2 linked regions of the Mytilus edulis genome follow. The protein of the gene in region 1 purifies or fractionates together with the protein of each later gene. This does not show direct contact. Links are inferred from orthologs where the notes say so. Each region holds a gene or a part of one and is shown in the gene's direction. Other genes may lie near its edges. The genes, in order: ras-related protein Rab-5B-like and rabenosyn-5-like.

What was found.
Region 2: the proteins of ras-related protein Rab-5B-like (region 1) and rabenosyn-5-like purify together in Drosophila melanogaster (affinity purification with western blotting; 3 studies listed by BioGRID, with this or other methods). This does not show direct contact. The link is inferred for Mytilus edulis from reciprocal best matches to the Drosophila melanogaster genes Rab5 and Rbsn-5.

The regions. Positions count from the first base shown.
Region 1 is NC_092357.1:59,729,581-59,746,098, forward strand, and holds the start of ras-related protein Rab-5B-like, read left to right. Parts: upstream 1-9,252; 5' UTR 9,253-9,403; intron 9,404-16,518.
Region 2 is NC_092344.1:106,613-123,140, forward strand, and holds the start of rabenosyn-5-like, read left to right. Parts: upstream 1-9,156; 5' UTR 9,157-9,265; intron 9,266-15,422; 5' UTR 15,423-15,468; coding exon 15,469-15,607; intron 15,608-16,186; coding exon 16,187-16,333; intron 16,334-16,528.

The DNA.
Region 1 (16,518 bases):
TGGCGTATTCTGACGCTTCAGGTGTCGGCTTCGGGGATTAGGTAGTCCCAGCTAATACAGAGTCTGTCTGTGACTCTGATTGTATTATGAAAATGACTGATTGTGGTCTAGAAGTTCCAAATACCAGTTTGATAACTGTGACTAGAAACTGGTCGGTATCTGAAAGTGTTAAAAGCTCTACATGGTGAGAGCTTGAAGCAGTAAGTAGAGATGTCAAAAGTTCTTTTACGATCCTGAAAAATCGCACAGTACAACTGAATACTGATAATAAAAACGTTACAAGCATAATAAAAATCGGTAGTAGAAAGTTTAAGCTTCATCGTATTACTTGTGATTTAAATGAATTGAGCACAGAATACTAGTACAATATAAGTATTAAGCACACAATGGGTCCTCGGGAACAAAACAAAACACCTGATAATTTAAGTAGATATTCAGATTGTGATGATTGGGGAATGAATGTTGAAGTGTTTGACATGCTTGATGAGCTTTGGGGAAAACATTTTTTTAGATAGATTTGCTACTGATAATAATAGTAAATGTTTTAGGTTTAATTTAAAATATTGGTACAAAGGTACTGAAACCAACTGGTTAGCACCACCACCAAATTGTGTATACAATGTCATTAGAAAAGTATGTGACGATAGATGTCAGAGTTCTCTTAATGTTCCATTTTGGAAATCAGCTCCATTCTGGGCATTATTAAAATTGAGAATGGAAATGGGGAATGTGTCAAAGAGACAACAAACCGACCATAGAACAGACAACAGCAGAAGATCAGCAATAGGTCTTTAATGTAGCGAAATATTCCCGCACCCGGAGGCGTCCTTCAGCTGGCCTCTAAACAAATATACTAGTTCAGTGATAATGAACGCCATACTAAACTCCGAATAGTACACAAGAAACTAAAATTAAAAATAGTACAAAGGCCAGAGGCTCCTGACTTGGGACAGGCGCAAAAATGCGGCGGGGTTAAACATGATTGTGAGATCTCAACATTCCCCTTATACCTCTAGCCAATGCAGAAAAGTAAACGCATAACAATACGCACATTAAAATTCAGTTCAAGAGAAGTCTGAAGATATAACTAAAGAAAATAAACAAAATGACAATAATACATAAATAACAACAGACTACTAGCAGATAACTGACATACCAGCTCCAGACTTCTATTAAACTGATTGAAAGACTATTTCTTCATCATATGAATATCAGGCACAATCCTTCCCGTTAGGGGTTTAGTATCATAAACTCATCATAGATACCAGGACTAAATTTAGTCTATACGCCAGACACGCGTTTCGTCTACAAAAGACTCACCAGTGACGCTCGAATCCGAAAAAGTTAAACGCCAAATAAAGTTCCATCATAACATATATATGAGAAGAACATAACCCATATCATGCCAATAACTGGTTTTTAAATAAATGTGTTTAGTTCCGATGCAAAGACCCTATAAGTGAACCAATATTAACGCCAAAATATGCAATCTTTAATGACCTGACAACAGTATCGTATCTATATCGCTTCTTTAATAAGTCTATTTTAAGGTTTTTTTTAGCTTTTGAGGTGAATACTGACATTTTTGTGCTTAATAAAGAATATTTCCATAAAAATTGTATGTGAAATACCTGAACGTATAAGAAGTCTATTTGAATTGTACTTTTGTTGAAAGTAAAAAAAGAGGGACATAAGATACCAGAGGGACACATGGACAGTCAAACTCATAAATCGAAAATAAACTGACAACTCCGTGGCTAAAAATGAAAAAGACAAACAGACAAACAATAGTACACATGACACAACATAGAAAACTAAAGAATAAACAACACAAACCCCAACAAAACCTAGGGGTGATCTCAGGTGCTCCGGAAGGGTAAGCAGATCCTGATCCACATGTGGCATCCGTCGTGTTGCGTAAGATGCGTTTTAATTGTAAGAGGGACAGGTTACAATGGTGTTTTTGGAGCATATCCTTTGAATTTCGCATTGTCTGCTCTTAAAATCAGATTTTGATTGAAGTATTTCTTTTGCACAAGAATAAAGCAAAATCAGTTTGTACGTGACGCTGTGACGCCGTGACGCCGTGGTACAGTGGAATTGATGAAACTCGTCTTTTATACAGTTCCGTTGGCAGCTTATCGAAACATTTATTGGAATCAAGAGACAGTACTGTGAAAAAATAGTACTATGGTTTTTTAAAGTGGGAAAAATTTGTTAATAAACATTGTCTTGTATTATTTTAATTTTAGTTTCTTGTGTACAATTTGGAAATTAGTATGGCGTTCATTATCACTGGACTAGTATATATTTGTTTAGGGGCCAGCTGAAGGACGCCTCCGGGTGCGGGAATTTCTCGCTACATTGAAGACCGGTTGGTGACCCTCTGCTGTTGTTTTTTTATTTGGTCGGGTTGTTGTCTCTTTGACACATTCCCCATTTCCATTCTCAATTTTATTGCTTAATTTCAATGTCTGCCTCGCCTTTACAGATGTATTGCTTTGTATTTGTCTAATTTGTTAGATTCCGGATCTACTTACAGTACGGTATCGTCTGCTGTTTATTCGATTAAGTGGGCACATGAAATTTGTGGTCAAATTGACCCTTCAAATAATTCTTTTGTTGAAAGTTAAATTTATTAGTTAAAAGAATTACTAGACCGGTTGTTAATAAGAAAGATACAGTCACTACTGATAATTCGGTTATGTTCTATGTTTCAATTTTCTACAGATTTACTAGTAGTTGGGGATCTTTTGATGATTTTCCTGGGTTTCGGTGGGTTTTTTTAACGTTGTAATGAGTAAGTCAGCTAAGATGTAACGATTTTATTGTTAACGATGAGCATTTAGTTATCAAAATTATGCAGAGTAAGACATCAGTACAGTTAAGGTGATGAAATTTTAATGTGTAAAGGTCATAATTTGGCTTGTCCTTATGCTATGTTTTTTTTTTTTTAGATATGTCAGTTTAGCCGAAATATCTTTGGATACTGATATCTTTTTTTTTCGACCGTTATATAGAAGTATAAAAAAAGTGTTTTAATTAGTATTTACAAACATCAAGCATTCTATATTTGGGACTGTACATCAAGCATTCTATATTTGGGACTGTACATCAAGCATTCTATATTTGGGACTGTACATCAAGCATTCTATATTTGGGACTGTACATCAAGCATTCTATATTTGGGACTGTACATCAAGCAACCAACCACCAAGATTCAAAGTATGTGTTGCAAATGATTATGTTTAAGATATAAACACCTGACATTGACCACAACCCAATGCTTATAAATGCCGGACTACTTAATCAATAGTTATAACACTGAGAAACTAGTCAAGTAAAAACTGGCAAGATAAAACTTAAAGTATAATATTTGTGAAATACCTTCATCTAAAATTTTAAACTTTAATAATCATATTGATGAAAAATTAATAAAGAGCTCTCGCAAGTTACAACAATTTTTATTGTGATATTCTTTTTTATGCCTCCCCCTACCCCCGGGTCGTAAAAGAGGTGGTATTAAAATTCGAGTAGCGTCACTTTTACCATTTTAGAGGTATGATCCTTTAAAATTGAAAAAAAAATACTCCGTAGCGAAGGAGGCATTAAGTTTTACCCTTTTCCGTTCGTACGTCCCCAAATTGGTTTCCGTTCTCCAACTATAGTTATCCTCAACCAAATGTTCATTCGTCTCAACTCGGCCGATTCCGTACCCTCATATGAGAGTAGCGGATTCTACCGAGGATTGCCGAATGCCAAATGTTATGAATCTTATACACAAGGGTTATAACCACAAAACACCGATAAACTTTGAATTTTGGTGGTGTCACTTTTACTGTTCTAGAGTTATGCCCCTTTACAAATTAAAAAGTTGCTGGTTTTTCGTTCCGTTCTCTAGCTTAAGTTTGCCTCAACCAAATGTTATGAAACGTATACATAAAGCCTCTTACCACAGAACACAGATCAAGTTTGGATTTTGGTGGCATCACTTTTACTGTTCTAGAGTTATGCCCTTTAAAAATTGAACAATTGCTTATCTTTTCATTTATATATCTTACTTTAGTTTTACTCAACCAAATGTTATGAATTGTATACACAATGCTTATTACCACAAAACACAAATCAAGTTTGAATTTTTATTGGCGTCACTTATACCGTTCTAGAGTTATGCCCCTTAAGAAATGAGAAATATTGCTGGATTTTTTGTTTCCGTTCTTTAGCTTAAATTTCCCTCAACCAAATGGTATGTAATGTATATATGTGACAGCGATATTTTCCTCTTTGTTTTATTTCGTAACAATTCAAACTGCTATAACCAGTGTAATTTTTCTGATAAATGGTTGGTTTAAATTTTTTGAAATTTTTACATTTTTGTCAAAGGATCAAAGCAAATATTTTGTCATATTTTGTCAAAATATTATGAAAATTAAACGAACATTACAATCTCAAACAATAAACAAAATAAAAACTAAAAGTATGTATACCTGATTGCTGAAATATATTATTACATGTATTTGCAAGATCATAATATTTTACCTTTCACAACTTTTATTTAAATGTGGACTTCTGGAATGGAGGTTGGTAGAGACTGATTCAGTTGTGACATGTACAGTAAATAAACACTGATAAATAAGTCTGATAACAGTTTGAAGTTTTAATGTTTGTTGATCTTATTACTATTATTAGGTGAAGATATGTTCTTATTTCAAAAAGAGGGACACTCAGCATATGTATGAAATTAAGATGTGCATAAAGTGATAACTACTTGCTAGAAACTGAATGTTTTTACCACAACTTTGTATGTTTTAATTTGGATACGGACATATAATATAAAAAAAATAACATGTCTTTTCAGGACTTCTAATTAAATGGTGTCACAGTAGCCCTAATGTGAACAGTTTTTCTTTATAGGAAGAGATCAACATTCTGAACAATTCAAGAGCTGATCATGTCAGATTTTCTACATCTACCATGTATTACGTTTTTATCAACCAATTTTTCTCTTTTTTACACTTTGATATTCCAATCGTATATATATACATTACACACCACTAGCTGAAACCAAAGAGGTTACATTTTTACCTACACAATATATAATAAAGGGCTGCGCTTTAGCGCATGATACGCCCGTTGCTCTTTTAACTTGTCTTTTATGCTTTAAATGAATTTATATGATAAACTAGAAATATATATACAAATCAAAAGGGATGTTACATTAATATATTCACCAAAGTTTCATAAAATCCCCCTTTTTTAAGTATAAAAATTCATTACTTAAAATTTATAAAAATGGAAAGGGAGCTTATGTCAATAGATATAAACAATTTATCAAAGTTGCATAAAATTTTGTGAAAGTGTTAGTTATTGTCCCAAAATTGGAAAATCCCCCCTTTTTTAAGCATAAAAATTCATAACACGGAAATGTAAAATCTGAAATTTATAAAAATTGAAAGGGAGCTTACATCAATAGATATAAACAATTCACCAAAGTTTCATGGACATTGGTGAAAGCCTTTTTGAGTTATTGTCCGAAGTGTTGAAAATCTCCCTTTTTTTTTATGAATAAAGCCCCATAAATCCAAAACTTAAAATCTGAAATTTATAAAAATTGAAAGGGAGCTTACATCAATAGATATAAACAATTCACCAAAGTTTCATGGACATTGGTGAAAGTCTTTTTGAGTTATTGTCCGAAGTGTTGAAAATCCGCCTTTTTTTTATGAATAAAGCCCCATAAATCCAAAACTTAAAATCTGAAATTTATAAAAATTGAAAGGGAGCTTACATCAATAGATATAAACAATTCACCAAAGTTTCATGGACATTGGTGAAAGCCTTTTTGAGTTATTGTTCGAAGTGTTGAAAATCACCCTTTTTTTTATGAATAAAGCCCCATAAATCCAAAACTTAAAATGTGAAATTTATAAAAATTGAAAGGGAGCTTACATCAATAGATATAAACAATTCATCAAAGTTTCATGGACATTGGTGAAAGCCTTTTTGAGTTATTGTCCGAAGTGTTGAAAATCCCCCCTTTTTTATGAATAAAGCCCAATAAATCCAAAACTTAAAATCTGACATTAAAAAAAAAACGAAAGGGAGCTTACGTCAATAGATATAAACAATTCACTTGAGTTTCATGGAAATTGGTGAAAGTGTTTTTGAGTTATTGTCCGAAGTGTGGACGACGGACGGACAGACGCACGGACGGACGGACAGACAACGGTATACCATAATACGTCCCGTCTAAAAGACGACGGGCGTATAAAAAGGTATACATTTTTAAAATTTGAATGATTAGATATATATGAAAAGAGTAGGGTAACAGAACTCCAGCGACATCCCCTATAAATTAAGGGGGTCTCATTGGAGGGAGGGTCTGATCCCAGATCCCGATTACTGTTTTGTCAGATTCCCGTCCCCGCTTACACTATGTACGTAAGCAATTCTCAGTATTTTGTAATTTCCCGAGTTCCGCGCGCGCGCCGCTAGACTTCATTTCCCGTTTTCGCGGCAAAATAATTTGACTTGCACGTACGCACGTGTCATGCTTAATACTAAAAATCGAATTTTCTTTATTTGTGACTCCAAAAGCAGCCTAATCAGTGGCGGATCCAGAACTTTTCCTAAGGGGGCCCGCTGACTGACCCACAAAAGGGGGGGGGGGTGCTCCAGTCAGCCTTCAATGATTCTCTATATAATCAACCATATTTTTCCCACGAAACCCCCTGGGGCCGCCTATGGCCTTGAGATTTTCATGTGGACCACCAATATCACTGCTCTTTGACTTTGATTGGGGGGGGGGGGGGGGTAGGAGGGGTCCTGATCCCGAAATCCCGGGCATAAAACCAAGTAATCTCGAAATCCCGGGCCTCAACTTACGTAATCCCGAAATCCGAAAAACAGAATTCCTGGATCCCAAAAAGGGTCAATCCCTAAATATCGTGCTTAAAAACACCCGATCCCGGAGTCCCGATAAAGGTCCTGCCCCCTCAACTTTGTACTTGTTCGGCTTTAATTATAAATATATGAGCGTCACTGATCACAGGCAATCGTCTCAGAAAAAAAATTCTATAAATTAAGGTATAAAGGGGGAAAATTGTGAGACAAGTGCCTATATCACTGAATGATGCGCGTCTGGCGTACTAAATTACAATCCTGGTACAGGGGCGATCCAGCCATTTTAAAAACAGGGGCCCGGGTTCCCAACCTAGAGTAAGTGGAAGGGGGGTTCCAACTATATGCTCCCATTGATCGTCTGATAAATAAATAAATAAATAATCTTTATTTCAAGAGGATGATCCCATTAGTTAAAACTAATCTTCCTGAGAGTCCTCAAAATATAATAATAACATATTTATAAGTACATAGAGTATTATAAAGTTATATTATACACAATATACAATTGTATTTAAATAATAATGAAAAAGCATATTAATTTGCACAATTGATGAAAAATTTGTAACATTTTGTTTTAAAAGATGCAAGTGTATTACTCATTTTTATTTCATTTGGTAAACTGTTCCATATTTGAGAACCTGAATATGTAAATGTTTTCTTTAAAAAATTTGTTTTTTGGTTTTGGAAGATTTAATAGTTTTTCATCAGCTGAACGTAAGTTATAATTTTGATTATCAGTAAAATGAAAATTTTCTTGTAAATAGTTAGGAACCATACACTAGTAATTTTGGGGCCCTTTATAGCTTGTTGTTCGGTGTGAGCCAAGGCACCGTGTTGAAGGCCGTACTTTAACCTATAATGGTTTACTTTTTAAATTGTTATTTGTATGGAGAGTTGTCTCATTGGCACTCACACCACATCTTCCTATATCCATTTAATGATTTAAATACAAGTATTGCCTTTTGGTATTGAATGTGTTTTTCCACATTTAACCAGCGTAAACTATTAAACAATAAACTGGATGATGTCATTATGTCAGCTTCTACTATAACCCTAGCAGATTTCTTTAATAACTTATTAAGTTTATTTATTCCACTTTCACAACAGCTTCCCCATATATTGCAACAATAATCAAATAATGGCAGAATATAAGCATTAAAATAGATAATACGTATATGCATAGGTAAATATTTTCTTATCTTTTGTAATAAATTGATTCTGTTTGATATAGTACATGACATTTTATCTATCTGCTGATTCCAATTTAGTTTTTTGTCAATATATAAACCAAGAAGTTTTTCACAATCTACATTTTCTATTTGCTCATTTGAAATATTGATATCTAAACTGTTTCCAGTTGAACAAAGTCTTTGTTTTGAACCAACAATCATTGATTTACACTTTTTGGCATTTAAAATTTCATACAATTTTGCGAACACCAGTTTTCAATTACATGAATATCATTTTGAAGGTTAGAAGTTAACTGAAGTAAATTATTACCTTTACAATGTAATGTAGAATCATCTGCATATAAATCTATTAATGAATGTTCTATATTAAGTGGTAAATCATTGATATATAAAATAAATAACAGAGGGCCCAGGATAGAACCTTGTGGTACCCCAGTTTTTATGCATTTAGTATTAGACATGACGCTATTGACCTTAACTTGTTGGCTTCGTTCAAACAAGTATGACTTAAACCAGTCTAGTGTACAATTTGAAACATTATAATATTCAAGTTTTTTCAATAAAATTATATGATTTAAAATCAGATCAAAAATTTCTTTAAATCTAAAAATATAACTCCGTTTATCTCTCCATTATCTATATTTGCCAACCATTCATCTACTAATTTAGTAAGTGCAGTAGTACACGAATGTTTAGGTATGAAACCTGACTGTGTAGTATTAAGAAGGTCATTACTATTTAAAAATATATATACAAACTATTAGCTATATGTCGTTCTATGATTTTTGAGAGACAAGGCAAAACTGCTATTGGTCTATAATTATCATGATCCCTCCGTGGAACGGCCAACGATGGCATCCTTGACACAAATGTTCTAAATTTAAAACACTCGGTAAACCTCGTAATGGAAACAAATAGCAGAAGAAAACACGATTTCCTGTATGATGTCATAAATGCGGGGTCTAAATTTGATAAATCATGGTGTCCGTCATATGATGATATCACTACGCAAAATGTAACTTTGATTACAGTGATTTCACAATGGTTATAAACAAAACTCGTATATAAAATAAACGATTAAAGTCTAGAAATCCAAAATAAAAATCGACTCCAACAATTTTACCTTGTTTTTTATTAATTTGAAAACGATTTCAGTTTATTCGGACCATTTTCCGGTAAGCAGTGATTTGGCTACATCTCAAAGGAGGGTGTATCTACGTAGAAAGGGGGCATTACGTGAATTAATTAGACATTTTCGCCATCTGTACATTGACAGTCAAAGCCCTTATAGCTGATTTATTTTATTTTTGGTAAGAAAATGTCAAAGATGGTCCAAAATTAGTCCACGAAGCCCACAAATCATGACATTTTTATAAGCTAAATCGATAAATGTCAATGCCAAAAATAACCCGTCTTCCGTGTTTACATTTTTTGATCATGTGTTTTAGCCTCCAAAATATATCAAACAAACAACCGAGATCGCGTGAAACGATAAATTATACATAGACTTGCCATTGAATGCGTTTAACACTTCTTGCTGGCACCATCAACAAGCAGTTTTTATGTTGTATCACAACTGTTATATGTCTAATGACAAAAAATATCTTTGCAGTGATCTGTCCAATTTTAAAGAACTATAATTTAAAGATAAAAAATAGTTGGTGATTATCTATCATAGCGTCACAATATTTCCGCTCCACATGTTTTGCTGGAATGTTGTCTGATGCCATGAGTACAGTAACCGAAGAGCTAGTCCCAGATTACTCTGACGTCCAACGGCTGATTTGCCAGACAAGCTGGGGCTGTGGGACATCAGAGCTCGTCCCATATCAAAAAGTGGATATTTGCCCACCCCAAAATAGAGGCGCTGCTCCGTCGCTTCTGGTGCCAACTGGCTGCCTTGGAATTATATAAATCGGGCATTAAGGCCACACCAAATTAATTTCTTGTTCTACAGATTTTTGGACTCCAAAATTTGGGGCGAGCGAGCGATTTGAAAATTTTAATAAACAAATATTTAATTTGAAATTTTTTGAGGCGAAGCTTGAAAAGTTAAGGCGAGCGATTATATTTTTTTTTTGTAAACATAAAATAGTAGGTTTTGATAATATTAAAACTTGATTTATAACTTGTACTTTGACATTTTTTAATTTCTGAAGTATTTTTTCCCTGTTCACCAAGAAATAATTAAATCTGGTCTATGTATGTGTGACTGACAATGATACAATTCTCCATCCAAGTCATAATCAGTTTGGGGGCAACCTCTTAATTTTATAAATATCCCTTTTACATGTTTTATGATGGATCATATAAGTTATAATATATTTGTTTGTACAAAAGGGCTCATATTTTCTCAAAGAACTATATATCTATCTATAGCTAGTATTAAATGGTCAAAACATGGCCAAGAATTTTGTAATATTCCTGGACTTTAACCATGTTAAATTAACACATTTACTTAAACAGTTTAATATTATTCAAAATAAGTAAACCCCTCTTTTAGAAAAAGTTGTTTAAAATATGATGTAACTCTCCCCTTTTTGAGTACAAAATTCCAAATTTTCAAAGTTTTTGTATAGAAGAACTATACAAATCCTTGGTATTTCTATTTTCTTTTCTACATCAGTAAAATGACCCCTTGTCTGAGGGAGGGTTGTTCTCAACCTGACAATAACAAACACAGGTCAAAGTACGGCCTTTTACACAGGGCTTTGATACAGACCAAACAGCAAGCTATAAAGGATCCCAAAATTATTAGCGTACACAATTCGAACAGGAAAACCAACAATCTAATTTATATATTCAACGGGAAAATATCAATGAACAACATCAACAAACGATAATAACTGCTGAACGACAGGCCCCTGAATCAATCAGGACAGGTACATAAACATGCAGCGGCTATAGATAGTTTTGTTTTGCCAGCATACAATATAATTGCAGTTGAAGGCAAATCCTTCAGAAGTTCTTTGTACTTTATTCTAACAACGGAACATTTTGGATAGGGAATATAAGTAAGGGGAAAGAAACCAATGTTGATATCTTTTTATAATATTTTCAAAAAAACGGTGCGGGAAATAGACATGTTTACATATCCGGATGCGGGAAGCGGGAATATAAAAAAAATAAAAAAAATCTGTTTTGAAAATAATAGGTGCGGGCGGGTCCGTCGAACAAGGAATCAAATTGGTGTGGCCTAATCTGTTCATTTTTAACCGGATTTTTGTGTCAAAAATGTCGGTTATTGATTTGGGGATGTACGGCGGGCGGGCGAGCGGCAACCAAATGTTTTCCTTGCATATACTCATGAAGCGTTCAACCAAACCTTTTAAAATTTTAATATGTTGTTACTGACAACAAAATGGAGGTCAAGTTTAATAATGACGATTTTGAATTTTACCGTTCAGGAGTTACGGTTCTTGAAAGTTTAAAAAATGTTGTGTCCGTGCATTTACTCATGAACCGTTCAACCAAACCTTTTAAAATTTTAATGTGTTGTTACTGACAACATAAAGGAGGTCAAGTTCAATAATGACAATTTTTACTTTTACTGTTCAGGAGTTACGTTACGGTTCTTGAAAGTTTAAAAAATGTTGTGTCCGTGCATTTACTCATGAACCAGTCAACCAAACCTTTTAAAATTTTAATATGTTGTTACTGACAACAAAATGGAGGTCAAGTTCAATAATGACGATTTTGACTTTTACCATTCAGGAGTTACAGTTATTGAAAGTTTAAAAAATGTTGTGTCCATGCATTTACTCATGAACCGTTCAACCAAACCTTTTAAAATTTCCCATTAGGAGTTTTGGTCCTTGTAATATTGATAAATGCCAGAACACAAATAAATGTTAAAGAAACCGGTTTACTGTCATTTTGACAGCTCTTGTTCATTTATCTCTTCGTTTATGTAAGTTTCACCTACCTGCCAATCTATATTTTCTCATATTTAGACAGATTTCACAGTGAACAGTCAGAGCTCAGACATAAATAAGTCTGAATCTGCTTTTGACTTATAGATGTCTAAATTTGTAAGTTTTAAGATTTGTCTCCCTTTAATGCAAGACAAAATACGACTTAAATAAGTCAAATATTGTTAAGCAAGAAATGATTGACCAGAATCAAAAAGTTGCAAATATCAACTCCTACAAGTCGATAAGTTACCAAAATTGGTCAACTTCAAGACCCACGCATACTTATAAAAAGGTCATGCATCTAAATCAAATAATGACAACATTGAAAGCCAATGCCTTGTCTTCTAAAGAAAAATATGAATGAGAGTCTGAAAAATCAGGGATCATGTTAATTAACCTTACAATGCAACCACCTGGATCCACACTTAATGAGGTAAAACATCTGTGTTTAGTAAGGATGTTCAATTAGATAATTAAATATAAATAGATCAAGTCCTTGTGAACTCTCAGACAGGTTTTTACTGTCAAAGGTGGTGTAGTTTGGCCACCAAGTCAAGTTAAGTTTTTTCATCAACATAAATAGACCTAAACAAGTCTGTCATTTTGTGACTTAGATAAGTCTAAAATTGAAAACACATTTTTATAAAGAATACATGTTTTGACTTCTTTAAGTCAAAAACAGAAATAGACTTGTTTATGTCTGAGCTCTGACTGGTGAAAAGTAAAATCACAAAAATACTGAACTTCGAGGAAGATCAATTGGGAAAGTCCATAATCACATGGCAAAATCAAATAACAAAACGCATCAAAAACGAATGGACAAAAACTGTCATATTCCTGACTTGGTACAGGCATTTTCAAATGTAGAAAATGGTGGATTAAACCTGGTTCTATAGCGCTAACCCTCTCACTTTAATGACAGTCTCATCAATTTCCGATATTTTTACATTGATGCGTTAAATAAACAGACACAATGAATATAATAGTCAAAATATGGGTACATCAGTCATCATCGTTTAACAATTTTAAAAGGAACAATTTAACAGAACACAAAAACATCTATCTACGAACACAGTTATTGATTTGAGTGTCTGACGTCAGAAAATTTTATACGTCACATAAATTTGTCGTTCAATGTGCGTACAAACAATTTTAAAAATTTTCATGGGAATGTTAGCATACAGGGTTAAAAAATCAAAAGTATGTAAGAATAAATTTAAGAAATAGACCGAGATTTAAACTAGTCCAAAAGTTATATATAGAATTTATAAGAATCCAAAAATAGTTAATTCCACTACGCGATTGAATGATTTTGACGTTTGTGGTTCAACGTATATTGTAATTCATAATAGAAATATATCATAATGACATATAATAGAACAATATCATACTGACAGGATCTTTTAAAGTACAGAGTCACGTTATAAGAACGAAGAAATACAAAAAGTCGCAAATACAAAACAAACCACAAAAAAATGAAAGCCAATACAAACACATTGACGAGATGTATAAGTACCGAGCCACGTGAAACGGATATCACATGAAACCATTCAACAGTAAAAGTAATATTAATAATAGAACAAAGACAAATGAAAGAACTATAAAACACGTTGTTAAGATGATAAACAACATCAGTACGAAGAATCTATACATCAAGACCATCGTGTATTATTTGAGAAGTTGATACGGAATATTTACATGTATCAACAAGGTCTTGGTACCTTCCGATGAACTTTTTTAGAAAAAGAACGAGACGTTCTTTGACATACCCCTGTTTCATCAACTTTCTACTCAGACACTGATGACATATTACAAAGTCTGAGTAGGAGCTGCAAGCTCTTGAATATCGAATAAGTTGGGAAATATATATCCCATATGCAGGTGAAGTTGGTATATTGCTACTAAGGTGGGGGAAATTTATGATTTCAAAATTAAAATCGTCTCGTTTGTCATAGATTCTGGTACTGAGATGACTGTGTAAGTCAAATTCGAGACATTTGATTCAGACATTTTTCTTTTATTTTCAAATGGACTTCATTCAAGTTATGTGGGATTTTGCGACCTCGAGACTCAAATATGCAAAATAATAATTCTTTTATCACCTCCTTTATTCAATTCAATTCAATATTTTATTGGAAAGAGCACAATAGAGGCTTGATCCAAATACATAAATTATAATATATTAAAACAACATATAAATGAAATAAAGATGCATGTAACAACAAGTCATAAGACAATTCTATGTATGTCATTACATTATAAACTGATATTGATACCATAAACTTATACATCAGTATTATTCTAGATTTTCATAAATTTACTTAAAACCTTTATGGGAGATCGATATTTAACATATAGTAACCAACCACGATTTTCACCTCCTTTACAGGAGACTGGTATTAAGCATTTAGTGCCAACCATGTTAACAATTGGAAGCTCTCGGACATTAAGATTACTTGCATTGTAAATGAACGAGGTGTTAGAATATGGTCATTTGCATAAATCATCACTTGTTTTCTCGTGGTCACATGATAATCTTTGAAAAGGTCACATGATAATCTTTGAAAAGGTCACATGATAATCTTTGAAAATGAAAGTCAAAATGCAGAAATCGATGGGTCTCTGTGAAAACTGTTAAAATAAGGGAAAATAAAGGTTGGCAGGTACATGTAGGTGAAACTTACATAAATGAAGAGATAAATGAAAAATGAACAGATTAATGCCCGATATTTATTATTCCAAGGCCGCCAGTCGGCACCAGAAGCAGGGTTGGCAAAAACCCGGGTTTTATGAGTATTGCCCAGCCCAGTGGGAAATACTGGGAAAACCCGGGTTTTACTGGGTTTTTGTGGGTAATACTGGGCAATATCGGGTAATATAAAATACTGGTCTGAATTTTATAGAGGATTCAGTGATCAAACACAAATTTTATACATTTAAGATATATATATAACCTTTTTTGTTTGTCTGTATTGGTAAAAACTGTAAATCATAAAGCAAAAAACTTTTTTTTAAATAAATATAACTCCTATTAAGAATTAACAATTACATGTAAGAAAAAGTACATTTAAATAATGTATATGTACTGTCACTAATTAGTAAGTAATTATTCAGATTAGAATGCAGATTTGTTTATGTAACAATAATCAGCCCTTTCAATTCTATAAGTATTAATAGCATGACCCCTTAGGGTGTTTATTTAGCAATATCACAAAGGTATGAATGTAAAACATTTGAAATTAACAATTCACTTAAACATTGCAATAATTTTTTTTTCAAAGTATGGATTATTGAAACAATGCTTGGTAATTAACAAGGTTTCCTTAAATGTGCAAATCTTGTATTCTGTCTACATAGAAGGGAATGAAATTGAATTTTTCATTCTTTTAGAAATGACTGTCAATGGTTATCAGTATAAAAAGTATATATTTAGCTGTTATACTATAAAATTACACCAAGACTTTACTATTTTATGTTAAAATAAGCTTAAAAAATCATATTGCCCAGTAATGCCCAGTATTCCCCATTTCTGGGAGTATTGCCCAGCCCGGGAAAACCCCGGTTTTCCCACCCAGGAATTCCTGGGCGGGTAATACTTTGCCAACCCTGACCAGAAGTGACGAAGCAGCACATCTATTTTGGGTGGGCAAATATCCACTTTTTGATATGGGAGGAGCTCTGACGTCCCATGGCCCCAGCTTGTCTTGCAAAACAGCCAAAGTAATCTTGGACTATGGGAGAGCATGATTCTACATACAAAATCATCTTTGTCTCAAACATACCTTTGTGTTACAAGGCAGTGCATTAAGTAACTGCTGACTAAGTATCTACCACATTTGTTAAGAGATGCAATCCTGTCACACATGAAAGACATGATGGGCATGAGTAAACTTTAATAGGCCGTTTCAGAATCTAAAGCACTATGGGTAATTTCATTGTTCGTACCCCAAAATGAAAATAACGTCACGTCATTGGCTGCATTTTAATTGTTTGGGACGTTTTAAACCAATCACCACGCTTTGGTGTACACTTTTGAAAATATTACCCAGAATGCATTAGATTCTGAAACGGCGAATTATTTACAATGTTTTACTGATGTTGTCAATGTTTCATGCCTTTCTCCGCGTTCCCCTTAAATTTTCAAAATTTAATATGCAATAGTGACTATATCATTATAAAGTTGGGATTCACATGATCATGATGATCTACGCAGGCTGTTATTCTCATCATTCACAATAGGTGATGATCGCTTTGCATGGCAATCAATATCATCCATAATCAGCCAAACCTTTTTTGTAAGTCCACACGTCATTGTTATTCCTTCTCTTCCTTTGAAGTGCTTACTGATTTGTGTAAATTATTTAGCAACAAGTAGATTTAACCGTGTATAAAATAAAGAGATGTGGTAGGATTGCTATTTTAACATGTTTAAAGGCAATACTCTACTAAAGACCAAAAGTCATACATGTAAATGTGAGCAACTATAGGTCTCATTATCATAATGGTATGCC
Region 2 (16,528 bases), on another chromosome or scaffold:
TAAAGTTTTTTGTAAAAAGTTTTTAGTCAAGGTAGTTCTTGATGAAGTTGAAGTCCTATCAATTTAAAACTTAGTACACATGTTCCTTATGATATGATCCTTCTAATTTTAATGTCAATTTGTCAAAAGTTAAGTATTCAGAAGGTCAGGCCGATAAACAATTATTCCTAGAAGTTTTGACATACTGGCAACGTATGCATGTAACTGATGTCGGGATGATTCTCGTAAAATAAAATCATATCTTGCAATGAAGTTAAAATTTATTTATACTGCTTATTTGACAAAATCTTGTAGTTAAAATAAAATTAGGACAAAGGGTCACTGTCGTTTGTCAATTGTTTCATTTCAAATTGTCTTAAGGAGAAATGATAAACATTTCGCCTGATCTCACTGAAGCTAACAGCTAATTTCCTAATGTATGTATATCAACACTTTGGTCAGCTTGCTTGCTTTGTTTGTATATTTTGTATAATTATATTTTGATAACGTCCAATTGAATTTAAATATCATATATACAGGTTTGCATACCTATATATGAAGATGTCAATCTTCATTACCAAACATGTTAATAAAATTTTATACAAACAAAGCAAGGAAGCCAACCAAAGTTTAACCCTACATGCATTAGGAAATTAGCTGTAGGCAAAACATGTTAATAAAATTAATACTCAGCGAATGTGAAGTAAAATCAAAATTTTCGGTGTTTAAAACTTAATTGTTGTAAATTTAACTTATGACAAAAACAATTGCTCCAAGAATAATATCCAACATAAAATCTCCGGGATAAAATATCTCCCTTTCATTTAGCTGTACAACTATGAAAGATTGAAAACACATTTCGATTTTCAATGCCGGCAACAACCTTGTCTAAAATGTTTTAATTTCCAAAATGAGTAATTTAGAAATCTTACTAAATGTAGTTTTCAACGAGAAAATTATTTCTAAATTAATTTTTGAATTAAAAACTTTTTGTATTTTATATTTACTGTCTGGTTTATTCAAAACACGTGAGGTAGTAATAACAAGGATTGTATTTTATGGTAGATGTATAACGTTGAGGAATCAAAAATTCATATATTATACCTATAATTTTAATTTCCTTAAAGTTAAATCTGAAATAGTCAGAAATAATGAATTCACAAACTAGATGGAATAACTTCTATACGTTCGTCTTAGTCGGGAAAAATAATGGTATAAAGAAGTCCATGCTTTTGTATGTCCATCTGTCAACAGTCGCGAATGAGTTTGTTACGGCATACTTCTGAAATTGACGCGGAAAAAAAGACACATCTAGTCTGATATAGTCAAATACTCAGTAAGTTAGCCAGTGCCATCTTTCATTTCTTTTTTTATTTTCAATAATTTTGCTAATGATGGACAGAGGACAAAAACAGACTTTCCTAACAAAAGCGGCGTAAAAGGTTATTTCAAACAATTTTCCAATCAGACGGATGGTGTTTCTGAAGGTTAATATGTTGTGCAGCAACAACATCCTGATACATGCATTTAATCTATTGTATTACCGTATAGTAAAGTAGGTGAATATAGTTGTTATTCGTGCGGGTTTCAAACGTCCAATTTGCGATTTTTTTCAAATAGTGCGCCAGCAAGGAAAGTTTGTACTATGACGTCAGATGCAATGTTTCGAAGAAAGACAACTCTTTTCTTCAAAACGAACGAGAAAAAAAACATGAAAATTGCTCCTAACTTTTTTGAAAGGTCAGTGACATACACTTTTTTTTGCTTTATTTTGAAGAGTACACATGGCACTTTCCTTCTTGAAATTTTTATGAAGAAATCACTGGTAGATTTTTTTTTAATACTGTAAACGTTTTTCATTTTTACGTTTTATTTTTGGCGGGAATGAAATAAATAATGTTTTTAAAGATCAAAACAATACAAGTCAAACTCTTGAACCTGTATTTGATAGATACAAATCTACGTTTTAACGTGAAATAAGAATTATGCTTGTATGCTTGATATAAAGGATTTTTTGAGAGTTTAGATAACAAGTAAATATTATGTTAATATTCGGGAAAACACGAAACTGAGGTTGCTATAGTGACAAAACTAAGTCGATGACCCCCAATTTTTTTCATCATATTTTGTTCCTCAAATCATGAAATACCTTCACACAAAATTGCAAGGGAAAATCACTGGTAGAAATGAATCGGCTGTTTGGTCTTTAAGTGGATCGCCCCCCATTTTAGAAATTATCCGAGATATTGCTGATATTAGCCTTTAGTTTAAGTTTATAAAAATCTTGCAAGAATTGTACCTTTAAAAGGGCTAACGAGGCCATTTTCCATAAATTTAATATTGACAGTACTAATTAATACTATTTTGGTTTTGTGCAAGAACAAAGCATTTCTATTGTGTACAGTATTTACTAACTTTTTCGTTGTACTTTAATTGCCAGATTGGTTGTTAGATAAGTGTCACAATACATTTGTTAAACAACAAACGATCTTGGTTACTGATCCATTAATATTTGGCCATGCAAAGAGTCTGATCTAAAAAGGTATATTTAACCAGACATGGGTAAATGGCCATTTTATTTTATCTGGTACAGATTATGCATATCAATGGATTGCTTTTAATTGTTTACAATTTTGCACTGAACATGCAGTTACTATCTGTTAGAGATCAAAAGGTAAAAAAACATTTTGAATTTAACATTTATAATTCAAATAAAAGAGGAGAGCTAAAATCTTGAAGTAGACGGCAACAAATAAATCACTGCATTTCACTTGCTATACAGTTAACGTTGCAGTATGAATAAATCACTTCAAACTCATCAACTGGTAAAATAGTCTAGCTCCTTGATAGTATAAGGTTTTAGTTCCTAATAAATCACTTCAAACTCATCAACTGGTAAAATAGTCTAGCTCCTTGATAGTATAAGGTTTTAGTTCCTAATAAATCACTTCAAACTCATCAACTGGTAAAATAGTCTAGCTCCTTGATAGTATAAGGTTTTAGTTCCTAATAAATCACTTCAAACTCATCAACTGGTAAAATAGTCTAGCTCCTTGATAGTATAAGGTTTTAGTTCCTGTATTTGGAATTTACAGAGTAAAACAATAATTCTTGCATTCCAATACGGACTGATTTCGCAGTTAGTATCGTGTAGTATTGAACTCTCTATCTTAAATTAGTTCAACTTATTAGATACAGGAACTTCCATTATTAAAACAGTTTAAATGTCACAAGTTCTAAATATTGGTGAAAAAGTTATTAAACTTCTATGATTTCTAATCAGAAAACTGAAATTTATAAATAATATGAGTAAAATGTTTCATCAAATTGGTTAAAAGCATTAATTTTAATGGATTATAAATATAGTTGAGTATGTAATGAAAATTATCTCCCTTTTAGTTTTATATCAATTTTTCATAACTTATAATCTGATTTTTGTTATTTTAATTTAAAACAAATAATTAATTTATAAGAATAAAAGAAGTCCAGAATTGGTATTATCATAAAGTTTTGAAAATTCAGTCTGCACTATTAGCCACAAGTACAATGCCCCATTCATGTAAATTATTCTATTCCAAATATTTGTTTAGACACACAAGATAATTGTTGGAATTTTGGTCTTCAGACTAGTAGTTGGCATAGATTTTGGTGCAGGCTGTTAATTAGTGTTTACTAGTGTTCTTGATATAGACTCCATGTTTAGGGTCCACCTAGCGAGGTAAATAGACTTTTTTTGTAAGACTTACTTTATAATGACAATCATTCACTACCTGTTGGGCTAAATCTTTTCAAATGAAGAGATGATTTCAAACTGCAATTTGGGTCGACATTACTTTTTTGTTATATTTAAGAACAAAGCATTTCTAATGTACAGATTATTTGACAACTTTTTTGTTTAACTTTATTTGCCAGATTGGTTGTTAGATAAGTGTCACAATACATTTGTTATAATAACAAACGATCTTGGTTACTGATCCATTAATATATGGCCATGTAAAGAGTCTGATAAAAAAAGGTATATTTAACCAGACATGGGTAAATGGCCAATTTAGTTCTTTAATTAACAATCCTTAATAAGCGTGCTCACATATCCTACATCCCAACATTATTACTGGACAAAACACAATCTCACCAGATTCCTAAGTTTAAAGACTTAAAACTTCTATAAAAGTCAACTGATAAAAAAATTCTTATGGATGTGCAGCTTAGCATATTATGTCCTCAATATAACTACTAAGTTTCATAAAATTATGTTGTGTGGTTTAGATTGAATCCTAGTTTCATGTTGATATGTATATCTACATACTTTGCCCTACATAGTAAATCTACAAACAATTTAAAATTTTAAAATCTGTATTGTGGTTTCAAAGAAGTCGCAATGACAAACTGCTGAAGAAGTATATTTAGGCCAAAATTCAATGTTCAAATAGGCATAACTTCTAGCATTCTAGAATAAAGGTTGAATCATAATGTCATGTCAATACGCGAAATATACATAGTATGTCCTTTATATCATCAGCAAAGTTTCATACAGAATTTTTACAGATGGGTAAAAACATTATACCCTAGTACAGAACTTTGTTCTGTGTGAGATACATATATAATCATAACTTACTCCTTTAAGTGAAGGATATCTGTATCTTTTTGGTTTGTGAAGGCCATTTCTGTGCTGTTTTCGATCTGAAATTAAACAAAAGGAAAACATAGGATAAAAGTTTCCAGTAAGTCTTTTTTTTTTACAAGCCATCTTATTTTAACAGAAGTAAAACAAGTATTTTGTGTTATATAATAACTTATGGGGTCATTGATGGAGCAGGAACTTAACCTTTCAGTAGCATAGCATAATTAATTTATGCCAAAGGTCAACTTTGCCTTTCAAGTTTTAGAAAAAAAAAAGAATATGGGGTTTTGGTTTGAATTGTTTTCCAATTAGCAATGATGAAGGGCCTTTTAATTAAGAAGATGAATATGAATTATGTGGAAAGCTTTTCAAATATCTGACTACCTACTCTGATTATGAGCCGTATGATTCTTGGACTTTGCCATTCTGTTCTTTTTGCTTTAGTATTTCAGCCTGTAAAACACAAAACAATGTTATTGATAAAATATACTAATGTTTAAATTGAGGGAGAAAATGCACAATCAAAACATTGTTGGTGCTTTGATCAGATAATCCAGCCAGATGGAAAGAGGCACCTTTTCTGTCAATTCTTATGTTGTTAAAATTACATAAATCAGGGCTTTCCCTTATAATTGAAGTAGTAGGCTAAATTACAATTATAGGTGGCTGTAACCTGCATTCTCGCTATCTCCTGGCACCTAATTTCATCTTTTAAGGTTCATCATAACCTTTTGGCTAAAATGGCCGTATTTACACCCCAAATTTTACTCTGAGTACAGACTAACCTGTACACCTGCAACAGTTTTAAGGGATGGCAGGAACTAGATATATAAATTTTAAATGCATTTTATGTTTCAGAAAATTATAAACTTTTCTAGATTTTACTATCCATTTTTTTTCGTTCCTGCAGAAGGTGCAAAAATTAACTAAGTAGTGAAAACGATTGAGAAGCTCCCCTCATATATTCAATGTTGTGAGTAGTATTGATTTAAATGGACAATAGATGGACAATAGACACCTGTAAACAATAGGTGATTTAACAGGTTTAAACTGTGTAACTGAGTGGACCGTATCAAATGAAACTCGGGTGTTTGTTTATTTTGCTATCTTCTGCAGACTGGAAAAAAATGAACATCAAAATCCAGGTAAGTTTTTTATTTTCTGAAACGTAGACTTCATATAACTTTTATATATCTAGTTCCTGCCATGCCTTAAAACTTTCCTGGATGTACCAGTTTGTCTGTATTCATAGTAATTTTGGAGGTGTAAACACGGCCATATTTTTCAATTCCTTATGATGAACCTTAAATGACCATTTTTTATCTATGAAATTAAAGGAAAAAAAATCTGAAAGAAATATCTTTTTTTTTTATGTAACGGTTTGTTTTTTATTTTCTTTATCTTATGCTTAAAATCTATTTGGTTTTAAAGGAGTTTTATATATATAATAATCCAATTTGTTAGAAATCTTGATCGATTTATTTTGCTTAATTACGCGAATTTATAAACAAATGACCCCCCTTATTTTTCTCGTCGTTAAAAACTTCCATTTGTTGTATTTGAATTCATGTGAACTAAATTTAGCCCAAGGTAAACACGACTTTTCATCCTTGTTTATCGTGACCATGACTATGTGACAATCGGCTGCCTTTAAACATTTGAAAAAGATATTTTTTTCTTTTTGAATTTATATTTTTTTCAGTGAAGTAGTCGGCACTTGAAGCCACTGTACAGACGTCTACCGGCTACTTTGGAAAGCCCTGATCAGGGTTTCCCCTGGGTCAATTATTTTTTTCGCCACCTCTTTCGCCAAAACAATATATTTTTCGCCACTTTATTTTTTTCGCCAAGTAACATTAATATATTTTTCCTGATGTGCCCTTTTGTAGTAAGAAGTAATTTTTACAACAAAACAAAAGCTTTTATCCCATGAAATTGATCCCTCATTTCTTGTGTAGTCATTACATTGAAGGGTTACTCTCATTCGAGGGGTTGTTCCCAGCATTTTGGATAGATTTTTTCATAACGACAGTTTTCTTTTCTTGACCATCGTAAATGAAAAAGTTGAGATGTACAACTATGCTTGAAACACGTGCATGTGTCACTCAAACGACTTTATTAAAGTCAAAGGATAAAAGAATTAGAGTTTTGAATCAGAGATTTTTCTTGCTTTTGAACAATTTTCGTCACAACAACAGCTTTCTTTTCAAAACTATCTTTAAAGGGAGAGATGTCAAAAGTTTGCTTCAAACACGTGCGTCGCAAAGATGTAAATATATTCTGTATGTGACATTTATAGCGGAAGCCATTTGACCATATCATTTTGTGAAACAATTCAATCAACACCTTTATTAATTAGTCCTTTGTTGTCGATAGCTATAAAATGCAATCAGCTGATTATTGATTTTCTGTCTAAATCTTAATGAGGTCAAGGTGAATTCCGAGTATTGTCTGATCGGGTAAAGTCCGAGAAACTGGAAAAAAAAAAGTAAATAAACAAGATGGAGGAAAATAAATCAGTTTATATATTTCTTTCGCCAAATTCTTTCGCAAATAACGAATTTTTATCGCCACAATTATTATTTTTTCGCAAATTGCGAAAATGGCGACCGCCAGCGGAAACCCTGCCTGATAAATATAACCTTGGTATACCAATTACCCATGATTTCAAAATGGTTTCCCAAGATACATCACTTCTGGCTGTGGCGTGTACAAAAAAAAAATGTATATGCAAAATATCAAATTTGGTAAAATTTAATTGACCCAAATATCCGGAACATTTGATTAATATTATCCTATATTCAGTTCTGCAAAATTTTACAGAGTTTGGTATTTTATACTCGCCCAATTGATGTACTGTACAAAACGTATCTTGGAAATCATTTTGAATATGACCCCAACTCTAATCTAGGTATCTTATTTTATCATATTTTGGGGATATTCTGGAATTATTTTGCACCAATATGCACAAAAATTTGTAACCCTGTGTCTCGCCTACTTTTGCTGTTAATCACAGGCTCAACAAAAATGAGGAAACTTGTATGATTTATCCCTGACATGACCGGCTACGTACCTGTTCGCCCTGATTTTAATTTTTTTCTCATTGTTGTTCAGTTGCATAATGTTTATTATTTGAACAGAATATGTTAAGGTTCATGTGGACATATTTTAAGCATATCATGCCCTAGGTAAATATATTTCTAATATGTTTTATGTTTTAAAAAAATAAAAATTTAACAGAATTTGCCGTACACTTTTTTTCATTCCTTCAGAAAGTGCTAAAATAAGCTAAGATAGAAAAGAGGTTTGAGAACATCCCCACGGGTAATAATTGAAGTGAGCTGTATTAATTGACATGGACAATAGATACATTTTTGTAGACAATAGATACCTGACAATAATTGAGGATTAAACTGTGAACCTGGGTGGACCATATCAAACGAAACTCAACTATTAGTTAATTTTATCATCTTCTGCAGGGACGAAAAAAAGTGCACTGCAAAATCCAGTTAGGTTTTTAATTTTCTAAATCATACAATGCATTTGAATTTAAGGTTCATCTACCTTCATGACGAAAAAACAGTGAAAATTGTTGCCAAATAATGTTAACGGAAATTTTTAAACAATAAAAAAATTGATTGATTTTGACGAATCACGTTAAATTTATCTCAAAAATTACATTATTATAAAGGATAATAATAATACGAGACCTCTGACAAATCACGATAAAATTAAGGATCAAGGTAAAATTTTAAACAATTTGAAGCCAACGGTAGCTGAAAATGACCATTTGACGCCCGACTGTAAAGGGCATTACTACATTGTACCTGCCTCATGTATGTCACTGAACAAGCTTTCTTTTGTGTTGTCAGAAATTCAAGGAATATATACCATATAAATATCTAAATAAGTTTATTAAAATTTGTATGCCCTTTATATTGATATTTCTTTTAACTTTATAAAGGTAGGTTGAACGAACCCAGGGCGAACAGACCCTAGACCGGCCAACTATCAACTATTACCCCCTGACAATTGTCGGAGGTAAAAAAAAAATGGAAAAACATCTTCAACAAACGTCAATATATACGTACTGTACGAGATCTAACGTATTTCATTGACAAACTCATCGACTCTTCTACAAGAAAAATCAAAATAACAAAACAGTCAACACGGTGAAATATAACTGATAAATATCACCTTTGATACATATAAATATTTTCTTAACTACGAAAGGTTTGAAAGACCTATATTGGTTTTGCCTTAAAAAGTAGTAAATTCATAAAACACTTCAATTTAAAAGATAGATGGACACAGATTATTATAAACATAAAGTATTTACACTACAGGCAGTCAGAAAGTGAAACCGGAAAAGGAAGTGAGGGAGAATTTATTATTGTTCCGAACGGTCCAATTGTCGATTTGTTCTCCTGTAGTGTTATTAATTTTTGTTAAATGTTGCCTTTTGCGTGGAATGTCATAAAACTACTTTTGCTAATAAACAGAACATAAGTTCTACCAGTATTTTTTTTATTTATGATCCCATCGTTCTATGGATCTCATTCGGATCTCCTCTGGACTGTCATTGATGGGCAGATGTCAAAACTGCAGAAATGTTGATTGTTTTCTGCAACTGAAGAAGAAATGCTTCAATATAGAAAAAACTAAGTAATGGGTATTATAGTTATACAATCGATACAAATTTGTAATTCTGCTGAGTCAAAACCAGTAACCAATTTCAAAGGATTTGTATAGATAATAGAGTATAGTATATATGTCTTCTTCTGTTTTGTGATTGATCCTTGATTTTTTCCAACAGATACTGAATCCTAAAGGTTTCATGGTGTTCCATCCCCAAGTTGATCAGATACAATTTGTTTGGGCCACAGTCTAGTCCAAATAATTATGACGTCTTGAAAGGCTTTTTAATCATGTTAATTTTTTCACTTTGACGCCTTCTGGGAGGGGGGATAGGACCTTTATCGGGACCACGGGATCGGGTGTTTTTAAGCTCGGGATTTCGGGATTTACCCCTTCGGGATTCGGGAATACTTTTTTTTTTAAATTACGGGATCCAGGATTTAACTTTATTTAAATTCGGGACCTCGGGATTTCATGTTTTTAAGCCCGGGATTTCGGGATCAGGACCCCTCCTACCCCCCTCTTCTGGGGCAGCTATATATATATACTGTGGAAGCAAAAAAAATAAAATCGCCTTTCAAGACATCATAATCATTTGGACTAGGCCAGTGATGATGTTGATCTGTCACAAATCAATCTAGCCCATATTAATGATATTTAAAGTTGATGCATGCCGTATTCATGGCAGCTACAGTATATGAACAGATAAAAAATGTTTTTATCCAATTCAATATTCAATATTTATTTTTTGGAAAGAGCACAATAGAGGCGTATCCAAATACAGACAATAATAATAATTTAAAGGCTAATAAAACACAATGCTTCTTCTGTGGTTGCAAAAATCAAGATAATAAACAAGAGCTTAATAAAAAGACGTATTTACACTTGTATGCAAGTTTGTCCACCATTACGTAAAATCACACAGGTTCCCGTAAACTTTGACATCATAATTTAAATTATTTGACGTCACATTTTAAAAGTGATTGTTGCTTGACGTCAAAAGGTGATTCGGAGTAGATCTAAGGTCATTTGGAGGCAAGATTCAGCTAAATACCAAAAGTGTAAATACGCTTATACCTTCCCATGAGGTGCAACTTGTGCAAAGGCCTCCTGGTCCGAGTACACAGTTATCGTCCTTTGATTTTCGTTGTCCACGAATATAGTCCTTAGTGTGGACAGTGTGTTACTTGCCAATTTTTGTTATACCCCTTCCAAATTTATTTCTCCATGTTTTATGCCTCATATTGCAAGTTGGGGGTTGAAATGACACTGTAAAAAAAATTGGATCATAAATATTAATGTAAAGTAGTGATTAGGTCTAGCTGAAAAAGGTCAAAAATTAGCACTTCGGAAGCTGTCAAAAGATTTCAAGACCCCCTTAACATAAAATTGTCCATATTTTGAGTTAGAGCTGATGAAGTTTTCTATAATTTTGATATAATTTGTCCCAAAAGTAGTACAACACACTGTAAAAATATTATTGAGAAAGCGCAGGTGGGATTTTTTTAATTTTCATTTATTGTCTAAAAGAAATGCACTACGAAATAACTGTGTACTCGGACCTAAGAGGTGAAATCAGGAAATATAGAATCTGTACTTTGGCAACTTCCCTGAATGATTTGATGGTGTCAATTTGTCAAATAGCATAAAACTAAAGGATTTAAACTTTTATTTGATAGAATTTCTGCAAAAATGACCAATTTTGGCATTATATGGTCAAAATAAGCATTTCATAGCTTTTTCAATGTTGATGCATAAGTGGCATTTTGACTTTCTATCTGACATGTTTTCATGTGTCAATTTTTGTGTTTCTATGCTTTAATCCAGTTTTAGTACTCATTTGTGAACTCTGAATCTACAGAGAATAAGATTATCTCAGACAATATGAGCAAAATGTGTTGTATAAATGACCCTCGTCTAACGCCCTGTTTGGATCAAGTTAAATGTGAGGAGCATGGCACATAAAAGTTGAAGTCCATAATAAAGCCCTCACTAAATTTGTATAAAAAGCACTTAACAATGTCTTTTGTACCTGTTTCATTTCACATAATATCTTTCTTTACTTCTGTAGGATAGCATGTGGTTCAAATATAAGCCTGTTGAGACTAAAATTGCATGCAAGTTTTTCACTAAAAAGTGAAAAATCATTGTATCAGACCATACTGTCTGGTAAAAAAGTTGAATGTAAGAGCCTTTTTGTGCTCAGATTTATTGTATCATGTCACCTGAGTATAGAAATGATAGAAAAGACACAAATTTTTATTTCCTATAGCTTCAATATGCATTTTTAAATGTAAATATGTGCTACGGCCTAAATTGACCCTAAATTATTTTTAGTCTTACTTGGCCTAAGACCCTTTTAAACTAATATGATATGTTATTTGTAAGTTTTCTTTCCATTTAAAGTACATTAAATACATATGTAAGGATTATTTATAATCAAAAAGCTTCACAAATTTAAAATTGCTGGAAAATATTACATCTTTATGTAAGGCCCCCCTTCATTGGAAAACCTCCATTTTTAGGCACAGGCTCATATAAATTTGACTTTTGAATAATTATGCTAAGTCTGATATATCAAATGAGTACTCTATTGCTTTAAATACATGATATATTATATATTAAGGCATTTTAAAAGTATTTTTTTGCAATATTTAAATTTTAAAAGCCCCAAATGTTGATAGTTGAAATTTCTCAATTTTAACGTCTAAATTTAACACGCAAAGTTGAATATAAAATTAATCATATTGTCTATAATATATATCCTATTGCTATGAAACTTTGTAAGCAGTCTTATAATATATTAAGCTTTAGTCATACCAAGTTTTATTAAGATTGGTCAACTTTTTCTATCCTATTAGGTCCGAGTACACAGTTATCGTCCTTTGATTTTCGTTGTCCACGAATATAGTCCTTAGTGTGGACAGTGTGTTACTTGCCAATTTTTGTTATACCCCTTCCAAATTTATTTCTCCATGTTTTATGCCTCATATTGCAAGTTGGGGGTTGAAATGACACTGTAAAAAAAATTGGATCATAAATATTAATGTAAAGTAGTGATTAGGTCTAGCTGAAAAAGGTCAAAAATTAGCACTTCGGAAGCTGTCAAAAGATTTCAAGACCCCCTTAACATAAAATTGTCCATATTTTGAGTTAGAGCTGATGAAGTTTTCTATAATTTTGATATAATTTGTCCCAAAAGTAGTACAACACACTGTAAAAATATTATTGAGAAAGCGCAGGTGGGATTTTTTTAATTTTCATTTATTGTCTAAAAGAAATGCACTACGAAATAACTGTGTACTCGGACCTCCTGAATCATCTTCATGGATTTAATCACATCTTTCCAGGATTACTACATTATGTAAATGTATATATAGAATATAGAAACCTAAAAAAGAATTTATATGAAACTTAATAGAATATCACACACATGTGACTTTGTTCACCATTATATCAATATCAAAAGTGATTACCAGAATAAAGAACAAAAGAAATAAAGTACAAAACATAATGATCAATAGAAATAAAGTAGCGTGTGATCCAATGAACCATGAAAAGAAATCCTTTGAAGAAAAATATAGGGAAACCGAAGTTACGGTTACCAGTAAAAATCATCATCTGTCAAATTCCAAATGTCTAATATAAGTTAATAAAATGAACTTAAGAATGCTGAATTTATTCGTTCATTGTGCGTTTATTTGTGTCACTTCGTTTTTGGATTGAGTTAAGTCATTCCAATTGATATTTTATACTGTGTCTTTCTATGTTGTGATGGTATACTGCTGTTTTAGAAAAGGGAGAAAGTTTGGTACCATTAAAACGTTTAATCCCACTGCAATTGTTTGCACCTGTTCTAAGTCAGGAATCTGATGTTCAGTGGTTGTTGTCTGTTTATGTGGTTCATAAGTGTTTCTCATTTCACGTTTTTTATATAGATTAGTAAGTTGGTTTTCCTGTTTGAATGGTTTTACACTAGTCAATTTTAGGGCCCATTATAGCTTGTTGTTCGGTATGAGTCTAGTCTCTGTGTTGAAGACTGTACCTTCACCTATAATGTTTTACTTTTATAAATTTTAATTGTGACTTGGATGGAGAGTTGTCTCATTGGCAGTTATACCACATCTTCCTATATATCTAATAAAGAAAATAAATAATCAATTAATTACAATCTGTAATTAATATGTCCATACTGTTAATTATCAATATAAGTCATATATACAAAACATATAATATACAAAATAAAAAACTATAGACTAAAATAGAAATATACACAATTACTATTAAAACCTATGAAATACAGTCTACCACACCAGCATTCTTTTATATTTTAATTTCATGACAATGTCTGATTAATATGTAAATTTGTACCATGTTTAACCCCACCTCATTTTTGTCCAAAGTCAGGAGCCTCTGACCTAGGTAAGTCTTGTAGGATATTTAATTTTAGTTCATTTATCATTTTATATGTTTTGGAGTTAAGTATGACTTTATTATCACTGAAATAGTACACATTTTTGTTTAGGGGCCAGCTGAAACACGCCTCCGGGTGCTGGATTTTTTTAACTGTTTTGAAGACCCATTGATGGCCTTTGGCTCTTTTCTAATCTTTGGTCCAGTTGTTGTCTCCCCGTTTCCATTCTAAATTTTATTGTACGAATGTAGTTACACTAGATCACTTTTGATTCCAGTTACTGCTGATGTCATCAAGTTCAGTATTTTGTTTCCATGTATCTCAATGAAATATACATAAGTGTATACGTAGTCTTTCAAAATTTGAACTAATTAAAGATTTTAAAAATTAAACAAGAAGTGAGACAGTAAAACTGAATGTCCATCAATTTTGATGCCCCACCTAGGATAGTAGTGGGGCATTATGTTTTCTGGTCTGTGTGTCCATCCGTCTGTTTGTTCCTCTGTCCCTCTTCATGTTAAAGTTTTTGGTCAAGGTAGTTTTTGATGAAGTTAAAGTCCATTCATCTTGAAACTTAGTACACATGTTCCCTATGATATGATCTTTCTATTATTTGGGGCATCCGTGTACTGGGGACACATTCTTGTTTTAAAAAATTTGAATTCAAGAATAAGGTACTTTGTCATGTTAGTCATGTTAGTACTGCCATGTGCATATCTATATTTATATAAGTATTGACAGAACAATGAAAACGTATAGATATATATAGGAAGATGTGGTATGAGTGCCAATGAGACAACTCTCTGTCCAAGTCACAATTTATAAAAGTAAGCAATTATAGGTCAAGGTACAACACTGAGCCTAGGCTCACAATGCACATTTATCTCTAAAAAAATAATGAAAAGAGTTTTCAAATTGTTCTGATTATTCTTCAATCATTACTACTCATTAGTTGGTTGTGTACATATATGATGATTGATGAAATGTCTACCAATTCCTGTTCCTAAACTTGTCAAGTTAAAATAATTAAGTTATACTAAAACATATACATGTGTATCATGTGTATGGTTATAAATCATAGCCTTACAGGGTTTGTTCCTTCATCGACCTTCTCCTTGTTATGTTGGGGCCTTGGTGGCCTAGTGGTCTAAGTACTTCTACTGAAATCACTAGCCAGTTGTGAGTTTCGAACCCCGCTCGTGCAGTTGCACTCAGCTCCAATCTTAATTGACTAGGATTGTCAGTTTTCCTATCGAAGGTTGGTGGTTTTCTCCAAGCACTCCAATCTTAATTGACTAGGATTGTCAGTTTTCCTATCTCAGGTTGTGGTTTTCTCCAGGCAAATAAACCTTGTAATACTGGTATGCCAAAATGAAGGTATTGATAGATTGTAGGACTATGAATGTACATAAACTAATTTATAAACCAAAAAAATCAATATTTGTACTGGTAAAAACAAGATCTAATTAAAGTGTTCAATTGATAACCTTATAGAATAAATTTATTTAATAGATCGATAAATTTACCTAAATCGTATCTAAATTTATGGGCTTGGTTAACTACATCACTGCAAAAATTTGGTGGTGCTATCCTCTTTGTAAATATTTTGTTAGTTTTCTACAGGTACATGTTCAGCCAAATTTACAAACTTAATCTTTGTAGCTATCAAAGCTACATGTATGAAAGAATTGGGTAAATGTTTTCAGTGATTTGTGGTAACAAAATCCTTGAATCTTGAATTGAAACCCTTCTACCCTTGATATTTTACAGCATTTTTAAAGTTGAAACTTGAGCCACTTTCCCCCATAGTTCAAGCATGGCAACTTCGAGTGAGGTAAGAGAGGGCTTCTTATGCCCAATGTGTATGAAGGATCTAGGAACAGTATCCATGTTACAAGATCATTTTGAGGAAGAACATTCAAATGAAGACAAAGACGTGCTGCAGCAGTTGAGAGGTACTTAGATAAATGATGAGGTGTAACTTATTATTACTACATTTATATGACAAGAGCTTTATAATATATGAGACGGGAGCTAGATCGAGGTGGCATCAATGTGACAAAAACCAAACAACAATAATGTTTGTGTATCATGAATTCTGACTTGGCTGTCAGATGAACAATATTTGGACTATGAATAGTATCTCTTAATAATATTATGCAAATAGACGGGTGATAAGAAAAAAAGATTTGAAAAACATTGATAAACAAAATTTGAAACTTCTTACTGAGTCCCTTTGACTTTGCCCCCAGGTCATGTAAATCCCGCATATTCTCATATGATTTTCAATAAAACAATTGATACACTAAGAATGCTAGGTTGTGAACAAGCTTTTAGTTTTAGGAAATTGTTGTTTTGTGACAAAATATGAGATAACTAAAAAACCATTTAGGATGAAGTATTGGTGTGTTTGATCTTTAACAGTTGAGTGTGATGTATGCTTTAATTACTTTCCTTTCAGTAATGTGTATTTTTGCATCAATAACCCAAGTTCCTACTTTTTGTGCTTGAAAATTGAGGTTTGTTTGTTTTAGGATTATTTGGTAAAGCTAAGAAGAAGATATTAGGAGAGAAAGAGAACCATGATTATGTAGATCAATCTGATTCTGTTACTGACACCTATTCTGCTAACTTGACTAAAACTGGCTATGATTCTTCACTATGGGATCCTCAGGAAATAGGTTTGGAAAATTGAAGAATAGTGGCTTTTGTTTCAGACATATTTTATATAAAAATAAGGAGATGTGGTTTGATTTCCAGTGAGACAACTATCCAGCAAAGCTCAAATAAAGTGGATGTAATAAAATTTAGAATGGAAGCAGTTATAAGCAACCATACAGCCTTCAACAATAAGAAAAACCCATAAAGGCATATAG